Lonchura striata: one gene and its partner. The protein of the gene in region 2 purifies or fractionates together with the protein of the main gene of each other region. This does not show direct contact. Links are inferred from orthologs where the notes say so. Each region holds a gene or a part of one and is shown on either strand. Other genes may lie near its edges.

Evidence for each region.
Region 1: the proteins of L3MBTL3 (region 2) and SAMD13 purify together in Homo sapiens (affinity purification with mass spectrometry; 3 studies listed by BioGRID and IntAct, counting the BioPlex papers as one, with this or other methods). This does not show direct contact. The link is inferred for Lonchura striata from reciprocal best matches to the Homo sapiens genes L3MBTL3 and SAMD13.

What each region holds. Positions count from the first base shown.
Region 1 is NC_134611.1:18,037,877-18,045,945, reverse strand, and holds the start of SAMD13 (sterile alpha motif domain-containing protein 13), read right to left. Parts: upstream 3,077-8,069; 5' UTR 2,973-3,076; intron 1,631-2,972; 5' UTR 1,603-1,630; coding exon 1,550-1,602; intron 1-1,549.
Region 2 is NC_134605.1:60,466,910-60,474,654, forward strand, and holds the start of L3MBTL3 (lethal(3)malignant brain tumor-like protein 3), read right to left. Parts: upstream 3,086-7,745; coding exon 3,009-3,085; intron 2,804-3,008; exon of another isoform or gene 2,795-2,803; coding exon of another isoform or gene 2,778-2,794; intron 2,740-2,777; exon of another isoform or gene 2,670-2,739; intron 1,707-2,669; exon of another isoform or gene 1,624-1,706; intron 1-1,623. UniProt on the Homo sapiens protein: Is a negative regulator of Notch target genes expression, required for RBPJ-mediated transcriptional repression. It recruits KDM1A to Notch-responsive elements and promotes KDM1A-mediated H3K4me demethylation.

The sequences.
Region 1 (8,069 bases), on a different chromosome or scaffold from region 2:
TCCTGGATGCTTTAAAATCTTAGGAGGACTGGCATTTTAGGCTTTGAAACTAGATGCACTGACACTGAATAAGAATTAGAGTTGTCTGTTTTTAACCACTGTCCCTGTGCCTTTATTGCCATCATGTGGCAGAAGCAGCAAGGTCTGAAAGGATATAGCTGAGAACAAACAGATTTTATCCAACCTATTTATAAGCACTTCAAGAAAGTGTCAAATACTTCCTTTGTAGATACACGCACATACATACAATATACATTCATCTAGAAACTATAACTCCACAGTTTAAATACAATTTCAATCCCCTCTAAAAAGCCACCTTAGCAAACAGTACTTGAGTCTTTATCACCCAAGCTTTGGGGAAAATGATTAAATGTAAACTGTCCCTGCTTTGATTGTCTCCTTTCTCCTCCCACCCCAAAATGCTCATTGTAGAAACCAGACTGCCAAAGGGAAGGTGGTTTCTGAGGGACACAAAATAATTATTCATAGTCACTGAATAGGAAAATGCTCTTAATGTTGGTGTGGTGTAGCCAGTGTTTAAAGTGAAGGGGAGGATGCTGATTTTAATGGCTGCCATCAGATCCTTTGATGCTTTTCATAATCAGGTGTTTTATCAGTAGCCTGAAGTGACCATCATTATTTACCTTACTCTAGTGCCTGGTACCCTATGCATTGTCACATTCTCTTGGACAGCTTATGTACGAGAGATCTGATTGAGAATAGATGATGTGCAGCTGCACAAAGTCTTGCAGCTTGACAGAACTAAGAGCTTACTCTAGTACCTTTCCTTATGGTCTTTTTTTTCCTTATATATATATACCTATGTGTACATCTCTCTCACCATGGCTTCTGTAATCCTAAAGCAGCAAGACCAGATTTTTCCACACAGAATTTCACTTCTCAGACCATAATGTCATTCAGAATTGCTAGTCTTAATTAAAGAATTTCTGACCTTAAATAAATGCTTACAAAAAACTTCCTATGCCTTAGCCTGTAGTTTACCACACAAAAGAAAGGTGTAGAGCAGCACACACCATGTCTCTGCCTTACTCCTACTCTAGGTCTTGAAATAAAACCCCAGCAACTTCAGGCTTCTCCAATAAACAGCTTAAAGTATCTGTTTCAGAAGGGAACTGATACCTAAGTGATATGCTGCTACTATTCAGCCCTAGACAGGGTCAGCAGAGAAGGGCACAGAGAGGTAACTTCCACACAGGACACTTCTCTCATTAGGCACTGCTGCTGCAGAAGCCACTAACAGACAGGTGAGCAGCGGCACAATATTGCTTTAGCTTCTGGTTGAGAGGAAAAGAATAAAACGTTTACCTAACTTACTGTCTTCTACATCTCTTCATTGCTATACAGTCCTACCACATATCACTTTTAATCAGCTCAGTGCCCTGGACTCTTCTATTTCAAAGCTGAAATATAACAGAAGTCATTAAGAACAGGGAGGGTTTGAAATGAGCAAAGATGGAGATGGCCACTATAGTTCAAAAGAAAACTACATTCAAAATCCATGTGCTGTTTACATAAAAGAAACACTTACTTTTTGACATCCAGAGAGCCATTTTCCTTGTTTTCCATGTCAACAGTTAGCATGGAGAGGATAGAAGTTTTACTTCAGCAACTGATCAATAGGGAGGAAAAAAAGAGCTGTGTTTAATAACTGGTAGTATGACCAGTGCAGTGTAATGTAACAAGCATTCTACAGGGACACATGCATGTTACACTTGAGAGCAACAGTGCTATTAAAGACTGGTTTCCTTGGAAGCCTGGCAAAGCTGATAGTAGCTAATGAATTAGAAAATAAAGTTGATCTGTGCTTCAAACACAAAAAATAATTCTTGCCTGAAAATCAAGGAAAGTAATACTACATTTAATCCTTTTCACAAGTGTTAAAATTGTATTCATATACATGGAGACTGACGCGCAATATATAGCTGTGTATCAAGAGAGCTTGATAGGCCTTCAGTCATCCTGTGATACAGAAGATCCAAACAAATGGGAGATCTTTGGAAAGGTCTGGAAATCCATAGCCTTGTTTTACAAATGTGGATTTGGATACAGATTAACATTTCACTTAAGCTCATTGTGCAAATAAAGCTGGTAAGGAGAGTTACTAATTGCGCCCCAAACTCCTGAGGCCTAAATCAGTATGTTGTCTATAAGACCTCCCTTCCTTCACTAGAGCAGCTTCTTCTACAGGTATGCTACACTGAACTCCAAAAAGGGAAGGAACACATGAAGGACACAGGAGAAAATCCAGTTCATTTCCTTCCTTGCAGCACACTGGAGTACTCGCACCACACAGCCTTTTTCCATCGCTCCACAGAACATGCAGAAATAACCCAAGCCTTTCCGTTCTGTTCTCAAGTAAGCCATTTCTATTTCAGAGAGCACCAGAGAACAGACCAAGGAGACACGGGATGTTCTTGCTGTAGCATTAATGGATGCCAGTGAAATGTCTCAAAGCTCTGGGATACAGAATAGGGAAATCATGCTCTTCAGCTAAAACTTTGCAAAAATAGAGAATAGCAATTAATATTGCTGTGGGGAAAAAAGAAAAAAAAAAAAAAAGATCTTTTATTATACACGCAGAAACGTGTAGAGCACCAAGAACATAGTAACAAACTGATCGAAAAGATGCTTCTTCCTGACCAAACAACTCCACGCATTCCCTGCAATCACTTCTCGGTTCACCTGAGGTGACTGCAGACGACACCCGCACCAGCCTACCTGCGGAACGCCCCGCGCCGCGGCCGCGCACGGCCCGGAGCCCCGGGCTCGGGCGGGCACCTCCCGCGGAGCCCGCGGGCCCGGGCAGCGGGGGCTCCCGGGGCTCCGCTTCCCGCGGCGGCGCCGGGGCTGTGACACGCGTTCAGCATCTCACGGGCAGCCCGAGCCCGCTCGCACTGCACCACATTGTCAGTTCTGACTGGGGGCGAGGGAAGCAAGGCAGAAAAACCTACCTACGAGCAACTAAGCCGGCGCATGGCTACCGGCTGCTGCGGAGCGGCGGAGCCCGCGGCCCCCGCCCCCCGGCGGCAGCGGGCGCTCCGCGGCGGCTCCGAGTGGCACCGGAGCGGCCCCGCCCGGCCCCGTGACGCGCCCGCACACGCGGCCCGCCCGCGTCATGGCCGCCGCGTTAAAGGCGCCGCAACGCGGGCCCGCGGGCCCCGCGGGAGGGCACCGCGGCCCCGGCGCTGCGGACGGCAGCGGGGCGGGCGCGGAGCGGGGCACGGCTCCCCCTCCTCCCTCCGCCGAGCGGCTCGCGGCTCGCCCCGCGGCGCTTACCTGCTGCGGAGCCGCGGGCAGCGCCGGGCCGGGGCCGGAGAGCAGCGCTCGGAGCTCGGTTCGTGACTTGAGGTTCTTGGGGCCTCCTTGTGGACATTTCTGCTCCTCCTAACAAGCGGGGTAACAGGTGACGGAAAGAAATCCTTAGTTGTTGAAGGATCCAGTACCAAGCCGAGGAAATTTTATACAAGGTAGGAAGTAGGAGTCGCCAGATGTTGGCAAATTGATAAAGTTACAAAAATTCCTTTCTAGAATGACACCTGGCTTTCTGTAGAACTCTTGCAACTTCAGGCTCGGGGTGATGGAAAAGAGGAGTGACCCAGGGCAGCGGAACCGAGTCACCGCCACTGTGCCCCCGCCGGCACTGGGGAGGCACTGAGCCTGCAGGTCTTACTCGTCTAAGCTCCAGACTTTATTTCACAAGGAAAGAAGGAATCAACTCAAAGAGCTTACAAATTACCAAGTGTCCCACTGGCAATTAAATCTCACCCACAGAATTTAATACAAAAGTTGTCAAGTTGTTCTGGCAACAAGACTTCTTTTTACGTTTTTTTTTTTTAATATTTTCAGTATTTTTGTAACTGCTGTTTTCTAATGGTGTATAGGCATTACCTAGATGCAGTGTCAGTGCAAGGGAAATCAAGCAAGAACTATCAACACACCCTGTTTCCCCACACACGGGCTTTGTAGCTGCAAAACTACAAAGAGCTGCAACCCAGACACTGACATGAGGCCAATGAAAAAGCACAACATGCTGATGCACTCAGAAAAAGTTACAGCCAGAAATGTGTCGACAAAACATAAGCAGAAATCTCAGCTATAAATCTCAAATATACTCAGATGCTGTGACTTTTTGATTATTCTTATCAGGCTGGGTTACTTCAAATTTGTGGGATGTTTTACTTGAAAAATTTCCTTCTGAGTCAAGCCACTCAAATGATGCTCCTGCTTTTTGCTGCAAGGCAAGTGGGACATTACAAATTACCTGGGGATTTGCACAGAACCTACTGATGACTCTGTCCTGATTTCTGCAGAGCTCTGGCACGAGTGCCCAGCTGGCAAAGACAGAGCCTGCTTTGCCACTAGAGTTGGTGCCTGGGGCTGTCCCGGGCACTTGCATCCATCTTACTCCCAGATAAAGTTTACTGTGCTCTGGCTGCATGGAGATGCAGGTCACCTACCTGCTAGCTGGACACAGTCACAAGCACTAACATTACCAGCAAAGTGGACTTTCGGGCAAAGGACTGTGGACACGACTTCCCAAACCACTCCATTTTGTCTTACTTATGTGTTGTTAGATAAATAACCAGAGTTTGCAGGAGCTTTGCAAGTAATGGCACTCAAATACTGACAGAAGCATTGAGAACAGAGAGGAGTAACAGTCCTCACTGCTTTGGGATTTAAATAAATGCAGAAAACAAAATAAATAAAAAATTAAGTGTACTGTGCCCTAAACAAAACCCTCTTTTCTTCCCATCCCAAAGTGTACTGTAAAACATGGCCTATTTGTGTTGGACAAGTGAGCCAAGCAAGGCAATTCTTTTCTGTCGCTAAAGAAATAAACATTCTAAATGAAGCCATAATGAGTTTTCTGCATCAGCTGGTTTCTAACTTTGGTAATGAACTGACATTTGAGGATACAAATATAAACGAGCTATTTTACTCATGCTCTCCCTTTCATCATGTTCTTCAGTTAATCCTTTGAGTATTCAAAGTGAGGCTCACACCATGCATGCATTCCTTCTAGAGGACCTTGAACAGCAAAGAGGAATTTTAAGGAAACGGATTATGGAAAAATTCAGTGTAGAATATGATCTGTGGCTTTTATTTTCATTTACTGGGGTAAGGTAATTTAATTATAATGAAATTACATCTGGAGGCAGATAAAGCAGAAAAGTGAATTAGCCTTTTGTTTAACTATTTGCATCCCACTTGTGGCCAAAAAAAAAAAAAAAAAAGTTTCCAAGCCATGGAGGGAACTAAATGAGACCAGGGTTGGTAGATCCAGTGTCTGTCTGTGTGTGTCTTAACTTCTGCTGTCACAAGAGAGGAAACACGCAAAGGTCAGCACAGGTGTCAGACACCAGGGGAACCTGTTTTCTGGGTATTGAAAAATGCCAGTTTCCTCCTGCAAACCTGTCCTTTTGTTTCGTCCCTGGCAGTTAAAGAGTATTAGGCAAAATGCACAGCACATGGGGCAGAGGAGAGCGTAGCACCCTGCTAGCTGTGCAGAGTGTACTGAATTTCAGCTCCTCAGGGCTAAATAAAGCCCTTTGAGCCCTCCTTATTCCAGTGCCCCGAGTAAAGAAACCACGGTTAAACACAGGCATTGGGGAAGCTGAGTGAGAAGGTAACACAGGCCCTGTGCGGTGTCCCACTGAGGGAAGGCCCTCCATAAGGTGGCATTGTGCAGAGTAGAAGGGGCCTAGCCCTGTGTAAAACGCGCGTTCCTTCCCACAAGGACCGAAGGCCCCGAGCCCCCGGGCCGGGGAAAGCCCAGCGCCCTCAGCGCGCCGCGGGGGCTGCTGGGAGTTGTAGTCCCGCCGGCCCGCCCCGGGCGCTGTTTGCTGCTCCTTCTCTGGCGCTTCAGGGACACATTTCGGGGCTGGCCGCGATCGTTTGTGTTTCTGTTGCTCATTGTGAGGAAGAAAGTAAACAAGGAGATTTCATCCAGATATGGCCGGCAGCCAAAAAAAATCATCAATTCCTTGTAAAACCCAGCACTTGGCAGCATGGGAATCCAATGGGGGCACCGGCTGTTTCTAAGTAACTTTTGTCATGAGTGTAGAAGGGACATGGGTGTAAGACACAGGTTGCCCAGCAGACTGAATTAATGTCCAGTCAATTCCTAACAGTCTAAAAATCCCTTTTGCACCATGTCCCTCCTTGCAAAACAAGCCCGAAACAGGACCGTGCAGGCCATTGTTTGATCTCCTGGCATCCCAGCCAAGCCCTGCACAAGCCCATTCGCACCCAGCGCTGGCTGGGGCCCACGAGGAATCTCAGCCCACTCTGCCTGGCAGAAAGGCTCTGTCCAGCTCCTCTTTGCTGAGGACTAAGACATTTTAATCTACAATTTAAAAACATATATAAATAGTTTATACCTGTTTGTTCCTGTAGTAATAACTTTTAGTTTAATATTGTTTAGTGTAATATTTGACTTCTCTGTTTCTCTGGTATTTACATTCTCATATAGACTCAAACATCTGAATGACCACAGCCCTTTTGTGGTCTGTATTTTCTGATCTTGTTCCCCTTTCTCCCTTCTGTAAATTCACCTTCCAGGAGAGGACCCTGGAGCTGCACCCTGGGCTGCACTAGGGTCTTGGCAGTACCTTCTCCCTTTCCAGTCTGTTCTGAATGGTCCCTTACTCCACACTACACTTTTATCACACCTATATGGTACTGATGATTTGAGACATCCCAAGGGTCTTTTCCATAGCTCCTGGCAGCTCCTGTCTACCCAGAAAGAGGAAAAATCCCCGTTTCTGGTCCAGTTGCACCTTATCAGCACTGCACTCTCAGAAAACTGTCTTTCCTCTCTTAAGGGCTTTTCCACCCCTATCCATAGTATTTTTAGTTTGCTTGAATGGAATTTTGCCGCTTATCTTTCTCCACAGTATCAACAGCTTAATACCTGTTGTCCTGCTGTCCCTTCCCTACTTCAGCACTCCACAGAGGAATGAGAGACAGTTCCCAGCCCATGGAGTCCTGCAATGAAACGCCTCTCTTCAGTTCCCTCTTGGCCAGGAAGGTCCTCCAAAAATCATGCTGTGTCTTCTTCACAGTCCCCTTCTGACCTGCCAGGGTGTTCTGCATGGCTGGGTATTGTGAAATTGCTCTGAAGTTCTGATAAAGCCTAGACAAAAGCCTAAAGATTGCAGTGGTGCTAAGCAAGTGAGGAGGGAAGGGAGGCAGAAAACGCATGGCCAGAATGTAGCAGAGTGCCTTGGTACAGCCTGGCATTCATTTTCAAGGCAGTGTGTTAAACCATGTGTGTTAAACACCAAATCACAGCACAGCAGCCACTGGCCTGAATTTACCTTCCATACAGTTCCCTGGGTTCTCTCCTACAAGGTAAAGAATAGGTTGGTAGATGTGCACAACCTTTTGTGAAAGCTCTGGCTGCCAGGCTGAGGGGAGCAGCACTGCTCAGACTCACTGACCACACAGCGGGGCAAACACCTGGCTTTTGTTCTGCTGGGGAGGGCCTGAAACCTTTGCTTTAGTATCCTGAGGTACTTTTGATACAATATGCATTACCTGACCTTTTTCTCATAATCACATGAATCTCCAGTAAGATGACTAGAGTAGCACCCTCTTCATACCAGCAGCTGACTGCAAGGCAAGGCCAGTGATACCTCTGTGCTTTTGCTTCCTCTTTTTTCCAAGACTGAATTGCTTAAATAAATCTTCCTGTACCTGAATTATATCCACTTCACTGAGAATTTCCTGCCCTACTTATTTTTTTGTGCAACTCCTTATTGTGCTAGTTGCTCATATTTAATAAACCTTCTATCTAGACTTAAACCTTTGTCATTTTAAAGCTTATACTTCATATTAAAAAATCACTGTATAAAACACAGCTCATTGTCCCAATACAAACAGTAATATCTGCCACTTGCCCAGCTTGTAATAATGTAGCAAGAAGCTTATAAAAAGTATTCCTATGAAATACTAACACTGTTAACAGGAATACAGCCTGATAAAAACATTTTATATAAACATGGCTCAGACATCTCAGTGAAATGGCTACTACCTCTCTCAGAAAT
Region 2 (7,745 bases):
CTGAAAACGTAACTCCTGCTGCCTTTCGCTGTAAAGCTTTTACACTGCGCTGCTAGAGCACAGGTAATTAAAAGACATGGAAGAGGCCGTGACCCTCACGCCCCGGGGGAAGCTGCCGCATCTCCAGGGGCCTCGCAACGCGCGCACCGCTCCTCAAGCCGAAAAACCCCGGGGGCTCGAGCCGCGCTCCGGAACGGGACAAGCGGCACGGCCGCAGAGCGCGCCCCGCGCCGCTCCCGCGCAGGCCGTGCCCCGGCGGTCCCGGCAGCGCCCGCCCGGAGCCGCCCGCGCCGCTCCCCGCCCGGCGCGGCGGAGCGCGGCGGCGGCCGGAACGCTGCGGCGAGGCCCGGCGGGCGCGGCCGCCGCTCCCCGCGCCGGCAGCCCGCGGCCTACCAGCAGAGGTCCCTCCTTGGCCAGTTTTGCGGCGTGTTTTTGCTGCACTTGAAACTTTCTGGAGAAAACCCGGGCTCAGGTCCGCGTCTTCCCCAGGCTCGGGCAGAACCGCCGAGACAAAAGCGCCCGCCCCGCTCCTCGGGAGGAGCGCTCGGGGAAAGCGGTTCTCGAGTGTCTCCGTTTCCCTCCCGAATTTGCCTTTTTATCCTTCGCCCCCGCCCCGGGCAATTAAACCGAGCGGGGGAAGAGTGCCCCCCTGCCCCGGCGAGGGGGCGGCGGTGGGGGCGAGCGAGGTGCGGGCGGGGGTGGGAGAGGAACTGGGTGTTAAGTGTTCCTGAGGAAGTTGCACAACGAGAGAGGGACTCTGCTTGTTTACCGGGTCCCTCGCTTTTTTTTTTTTTCCTTCCCGCCCCCCCCCCCCTTTCGCCTCCACCCCCCGGGACCGGGATCCGGGAAAAGGAGGTTGCCTCCGAGTGAAAGGAAAAAAAATTTTAAAAAATGTTACCTTCTCCTCCCTCCTCCCCTCCCCCAGCGCGGAGGAAAAGGAGGAGGAGGAGGGGGGCGAGCTCTCTTTTTTCTAGGGGGCTGCGGGGACTCGCTACTCGGCCGCTCGCAGGCGATGTCCGGGCATCCCTCGGCAGAGAAGTCACCCCTTCCCGCGGGAGGGGCCGGCACACGCCGCCTCCCCGGAGGGCTCGCCCCCGCCCGGCCCCGCAGCCGCCAGCGCCCGGCCCCGCGCTGCAACTTTTTCTCTCACGCTCTCGCGTGCGCCCGCTCCGACGGGGAGGGGGGAAAACCAAGGGGGTGGGGAGCGAGCGCCGCTGCGGCCCCGACGCGGCGCCCCCCGCCCCGGGCGCTCTAGCCCCGGCAGCCTCTCCGAAGCCCCGGCCGGGGGCGGGCGGCCGCTCCGCGGGAGCGCCTTCCCGTCGGCCGCCGCTCCCTCCCCCCCTCCGAAAAAAAAAATCGCTTTCCGCCCCCCCCCCCCCCCCCACCGAAAAAACACCGCCCCACACGCGCTAGCGAGAACAAGTGTGCCTATATCCTGTTGTTATATGCACCGGCTGCGGAGACGGGGAGGGAGAGACGGGCGTGTGCGCGGGGGGCCGCTCCCCCACCCCGGCCGCACTTCAGGCGAGAGCGCGCAACTTAACAGAAAAGCCGCGTCCTATTCCTTGCCCCTGCCTGCCCCCCCCGCTCCCTGCCCCCGTCGTCGGCAAAATACGCACTCACGTGTATGTGCGCTCACTCACACCGCCGGCACCCCGGGGCCAGCCCCCGGCAGCCCCTCGAGGCCGGCCCGCGGAGCCGGCGGCGGTGACAGGCGCCGGCCCCCGCCGCCGCACGCAGCCCGAAGCGGGCAGGGGCCGTTCCCCCGCCGCCTCACATGTCTGCCGCAGCGAGCGCGGCGCACGCACCGCACAGAGGCAGGAACTGAGCACTCGAGCAAAAGACTTTTTTTTTCGTCTCTTAAAAAAAAAAAAAAATTGCTACAAGCTTGCCTTTTTTTTTTTTTTTTTTTTTGTATGTGTATGTGTGTGCAAACTTTCCCCAAAATGGCGGAAATTGGGAGATGGTTATATTTTAAATATCTCTCGCACACAATCACACAAAGTGCAGGAGCGACGGAAAATACAAACTCTCTGCTGCGCGCTGGTAGAGGCCTTCGCACACGGGGACCCACGGCACATTCAACCGGTATATCCCGGCAGCCGCCACCTCTCGCCGCTTCCGACCAAAAAACCCTTTTTCGCACCCCTCTCCGCTGCGCATTGCCCCCTCGCAGCCCGCACTTCTCCCCGTCCTTCAGCCTGTGCGAACAAAGAGCCGGGGCTGCGGAGGGGGGGCTCGGGTGGCAGCGAGCCCCCTCCCTCCGCTCCGCTCCCTCCCCGCCCGGCGCTCACATGCACACCCGTGCCCCCCCACCTTCTCCCCCCGCCGCCCGGCCGCGGCACCCGCATCACATTGTTCCCAACAGCACGGCGGTGCCCCGTAAGTGTCATTAAATGCAGCCAACTGACAAGCTCATTGGTGGGGCAAGTCTGCAAAATGTCTCTCCCCTTCCCTTCCCCCTCCCTTTGGAACCCACTCCCCCCCCCCCAAAAAAAAAAAGAAGGGCCCCCACAAACACATTTCCACAGCTCCCTCCCCCGTGTATATATATATGTACATACACATACGTGCGTGCGTGCCTGTGTATGTATATAAATATACAGCGCATATATATATACATGTACTCCCTTCATGTGTTTGGGAAGAGAAAAAGAAATACCAGGCACCTCTCTCTTTCTTTTGTTCCTCTTTCACACTCGTACACTTATGATTTAGTGAGATCCCCGGTGCCCCGGCCGCTCCCCAGCCACTTGCGAGTCACTTGCCCACTTTACCCGGCATTAACTTCCATCCTTTCTGCTCGAGGTGGTCGGGGAGAAGCCCCCCTCCCCTTCCCCAGATACGTTTCGTAAGGGAGGGAGAGGAGGTGCGTCTCTCCCTTTATCTCTCAGGCTCTCTCTAACTTTCATCCTCACCTAGGGGGAAAATTAAAACCCGTCACCAGCCTTTGCCATCGCGGCTCCCTAAACGGCTTGCGGATCAGATCGGAACCCGCCGCTCCTTACCCCCCCAAATTCTCTCTTTCTCCGTCTCTCGAGTAGTCCTGACAAATATGGTCCAGGGCTGCGGGCACAGTGAGCATGCGCCCGCGGAGCCAGGGCTGGGGAAAGGGGAAACTGCCGCCGCCGCCGCCGCCGCGGCTCCTCTTCCTCCCTCGCCTGCGCTGCCGCTGCGCCCCGGCCGCCCGCGGCCGGCACCCGGCAGCCGCCAGCGGCGGCGGGCATCGCCCTCGCCGAAAACGCGGCTGCCGACGAGGGCTCCGGCGGAGGTGCATCCTCCCCCTGATTTACTGCCGACGCTGGAGGAATAATAAGGAGACTTGTGCAGCAGTCGCGCGCTATTTTGGGCGCTTTCAAAAATAACGCCTTGCACTTTTCGGGGAGGGGGAGGTCCGGTCCTCGGGGGTCCTGCCAGGTCCTGCTAAGGTTGGGTGGTGGGCGCCGGGGAACCGGGGAAAGCCTGTCTGTGGCTCCTCTGCGCAGAACAGACCTGGGGCAGAGGCAGAACAGCTGGGCACCAGTAAGGAAAGAGCGGGTCCTGCGGGAGAGGGGCTGCCCTCCGCCGCGGCCGGCGAGGGCATCCTCGAGGAGATGGTCAGAAGCCAGGCAGCGCGGAGCCAGGCTCCTCCTGCGCTCCCGAAATATGGGGTGCCTGCGGTATGGACACATTCCTTGTGATGGGCCTCATCTGGTTTACAACCTAGCCAGCTCACCAAATAAAACTAGTCTCAGATGTGCCACCTTCTTGAATACTCTCCATCGGTGCCCTGTATTCCTAAAGACAAATAACATCTTCATTTATTTTCTGTCCCTCGTTCAGAAAACAGTGAAAACTGATGGCCCTTGTTGCTTCATGGGAATGCCCAGGATGAACTTCACCTGCAAGGATAACTGTTTGGAGAAGAACATTACACAGCACAGACCTGTATGAGGCCTAAGTGTACTGGGAAAGAGGGAGGATGGAGGATTGTGATCAGATGTAAATATGATACTTTTAAAACTGTATATACATCTATGTATGCAGTTTGAGGCAAAGTATAAAAGAACACAGAACACAATCTTCATTATACTAATCCTAAATTTTTTTTCAGACCACACAGCATCTCCCTAAAGTACTTCTGTCCTGAAGACAAAAACTGACAAAGTAAATTCTGAATTTTTGATAGTTTGGCATATTATTATATATCTCTTAAAATAACTCTCAAATCTCAATACATCTTTTGTTAATCCCAGTAGTGATCAATGACCATGCTTTGTCTTGCTTTTATATATGCTCCCTTCTAAAACTACACTTCCAACTTTGGCCAAAATTACTAGAACAGAAATAATGATAAATACTAATAGTCAGCCAGTAATAGGTATTAGCTGAATATCAATAGAAATAAATACAAATGACAAGACTAAGTACAACCTTTTTAGGTATTATGGATGCATACTGTATTACCCTCTGATCCCCATGATGGGGACAGCGTTGCACTGGACACAAGATAGAGATGCTCCATCTCTGATAAGACTTCCTAGCCTCAGCTTCTGCTCAGTAGAGAATTTACTTTCAGAACGTGTATTAAAATATTTAAGAACCGAGCTTGACAACTCCGCTCCCTTAAACTATGCCCATGTTCAAACAGTTCAGACAATCAGGCTTTTGCCCTACTATCTTGACAGTTTCTGTCTATTTAAATGATTTTTTTTCACAGCAGTAAAAAGGGGCTCATAATTAAGTATTTACAGAATTGGTGCCTAAGCAAAATACATTATAGTTGTTTTATTATGAGCAATGATGATAAAACACCCCTTCAGCTCAAATGGCATTGCATATAGGATGCAGTTTTCATCAATAAACATATGTTCATTAGAAATTAATTACAGAAAACAGTATTAACCTAATTGTAATAATTAGTGATAACATGTATTTTAACTCTTCTAAAACACAGATGCAAAAAATAGTGGATGAGAAAATTCTTACTTTCCACCAGTGAGCTCTTACTTGAGGAAATTTATGTGTTAGAAACAAAGAATAAACTGTAACAGAAGTCATTCAGCGCTTTTTTTAAAATTATTTCCCAATGTTCCCAATGTTCAATGTTGTTGAAATGTTTTAAGTCAAACAGTTGCCAAAGAACTAGATTATTCTATTGTAGCATTAAATTAGCTGGGCTCTGCAGAAGATACTCAAAGAATGGTGCAATTTGGTGTACTTTCAAACTCTTTAGGATGCTTGACCTGTACTGATTATTCTCCAGATGATATTGATGTTTTGGGGGATGGTATAACATACCCTGCTAAGAAGATACATTTCTAAGAGTACAACTGAACTAGTTATCTGCCATTATTTTATTTATGCTTGAAAGACTTTGTCCCTTTCCTCTGAAAATCTTAAAGGGAAACATATTCATATGTGTGACTATAAGAGGGTAGCCCCTTACAGAAAAAAAACCTCCATGAAGGATGTATATTGGAAGCTGTAACTGAAACCAAGGATTTGAAACAGCACATAGCTGCCTTATGAATCAAATTGATAACACTTTGATTAAAATAAAAGGACATATGAAATTAATAAAGGTACCTTCTGTTCTCTGTCTCTTCTTCGATCCTTGCCCTAATCATAGTGTGTCAGCTCATGATGTATAATAAACCCATTATTTTGTCAATAAAAATTTATTGGATAAAAATAGATTAAACATTATTCACATATGCTCTTTAAACATTAGTTCTGTTGCCATTTTATTTAATACTAGAATTCCATCTGCATTCCAAAGGCAGAGAATTTCAAACACTTGTTTTCTATATGTAAGTATGGCATTTAATATGATTTTGGCAGTATGTTTAATGACAGATTTTGGAGTAGCTAAATTTGATCTCTCTCTGAGTATTCTTGTAACTCGTTGAATAGGTGTTTGTGCTGTAGCCAAATACTGATTATTTTTATAAGGGCATGTGCATGAACATCCATCTACATGGCTTCCAAAATCCAAATCTTGAGTACCATTTAAGGGGATGAGAGTAAAGTAATGTACATTATCCATTCAGTTTGCATATTGGGTTTGTGTGATCTAATGGCTCCTCAGGAAGTATCTACATAAACCGAGAAAAAGAGAATCCATATTTACATTTTACCAAAAAATTTGACATTTCCAGGATCTTGATTTCTATGATTAACATGCCTTAAAGATGGCCTTATTAATCAAAAATAGCCTGTATGGGACTTTTTATCACACTTCTAATAACCTGTGCAGCTCATTGTGTGACCTTTCTCACCAGTGACGGTTATCAGTCTGTCATGTGATTCTTCCCCAACCTGGAGGACAGGAAAGAGGGTTTGAGGGCAATCACTGGGGAAAAAAAATATATTGTAATATTATGTAAAGCTCTAAGCCAGGAAAATGGAAGTCTTAAAGCTTTAAGAAGTTGAGAATGAAGAGAGAATGTATATGTGGTTATTTACCAATTGAAGCGAGCATATTGCAGTCCATGCTGAATCCTCTCAATAGTACTGTCTCCCTGTCCAGAGAATTTGATGTCCACACTGATGTCCACAACTTGACTTATTATCAATGGAATCAACTGTTTCTGCCACTCATCCTGGAATATTTATCAAAGTTGATACAAATGTCATGCTAAACTGGAGAGCCAGTAATACCTCCTAGTTTTCAGATCTGTGTGCCTGCCTGACTGGATCCTAACTCCCTACCACAGTGAGACTTGGGTAGGAAACAGCCTTTTTTTTTTTCTGGGAAGAACACTTGAGCATGAGTACTTGAAAGGAACTGCAGTATTTTCCAAAGACATTTCAGCCCAACCTGCTTTGGATGTAGGTGTAGTGCAACCTGGGAGAACTTGTTTCTGAAGCTATTGATGAAGCCTTTGAAAATTCCTGCTTTCACAAAGTTGCAAGACTACAGAGCTTTCCGGAGTTGGTCTTCATCCTAAAGAAATTCAAAGGCAGATAGGGAAGTTATGGGTTTGTCAGTTCAGGAATGAATCCAGAGCCATGTTACATATTAAGGGTTTGGGGAGCATTGGACCAGAATAATGAGTTGTAAAAACAGAAAAAGTAATTTGCAAGCATGAGTCCAATGAAAATTAGGAATATTGATGAGGACTCCTGAACCAGAAGAAGGCTGAAGTTAGAAGCTTGGACATGTGAGTTGGACATTAGAGGAGAGCTTGGAGCAATGGCAGATCTTAAATGAGTTGAAGGAAGCAAGGAGGAAGTGGCCCCAGAGACAAGAGGTATGAAGACACAACAGGGATGTGTGGTCTGGAATGGATGATAGGCCCAAAGAAATGGGTAAGAACAAAGGTCCTGAGGGAGAGGAAAGGAGGGGGTAGTAAGAAAAGAGACACACCACAGAGGAGGACAAGTGGTATGGAAAGGGGCAAAGTGTAAGTGGGTCAAGAAGAGAAAGGGGGAGGAGGAAGCCTGTGCTGGGCAAGGCTGGAAGTAACAGGAGATTTGCAGTCTTTAAAAATGGACTTTCCTAGATGTAGTTTTAAGGGATAATAATGAGTAATATCGTGGTTATGAGTGGGTAAGAGGGTAACCACCATGGCTTGTTTTGGCACAGAACTGTATTCATGCATGCTCTTTCCTAAGGTATGTGGGCACACTCTGCATATGAGGACCATTATCATTTCCCATAGTAGAAGACTTTGACTCCAACTGTGCATAAGATTATAACAGCCTTGCAGCAAAGCATTACTTTGGACAGTCTGTTCAGGCTGGATACTCCAGACCTGTCA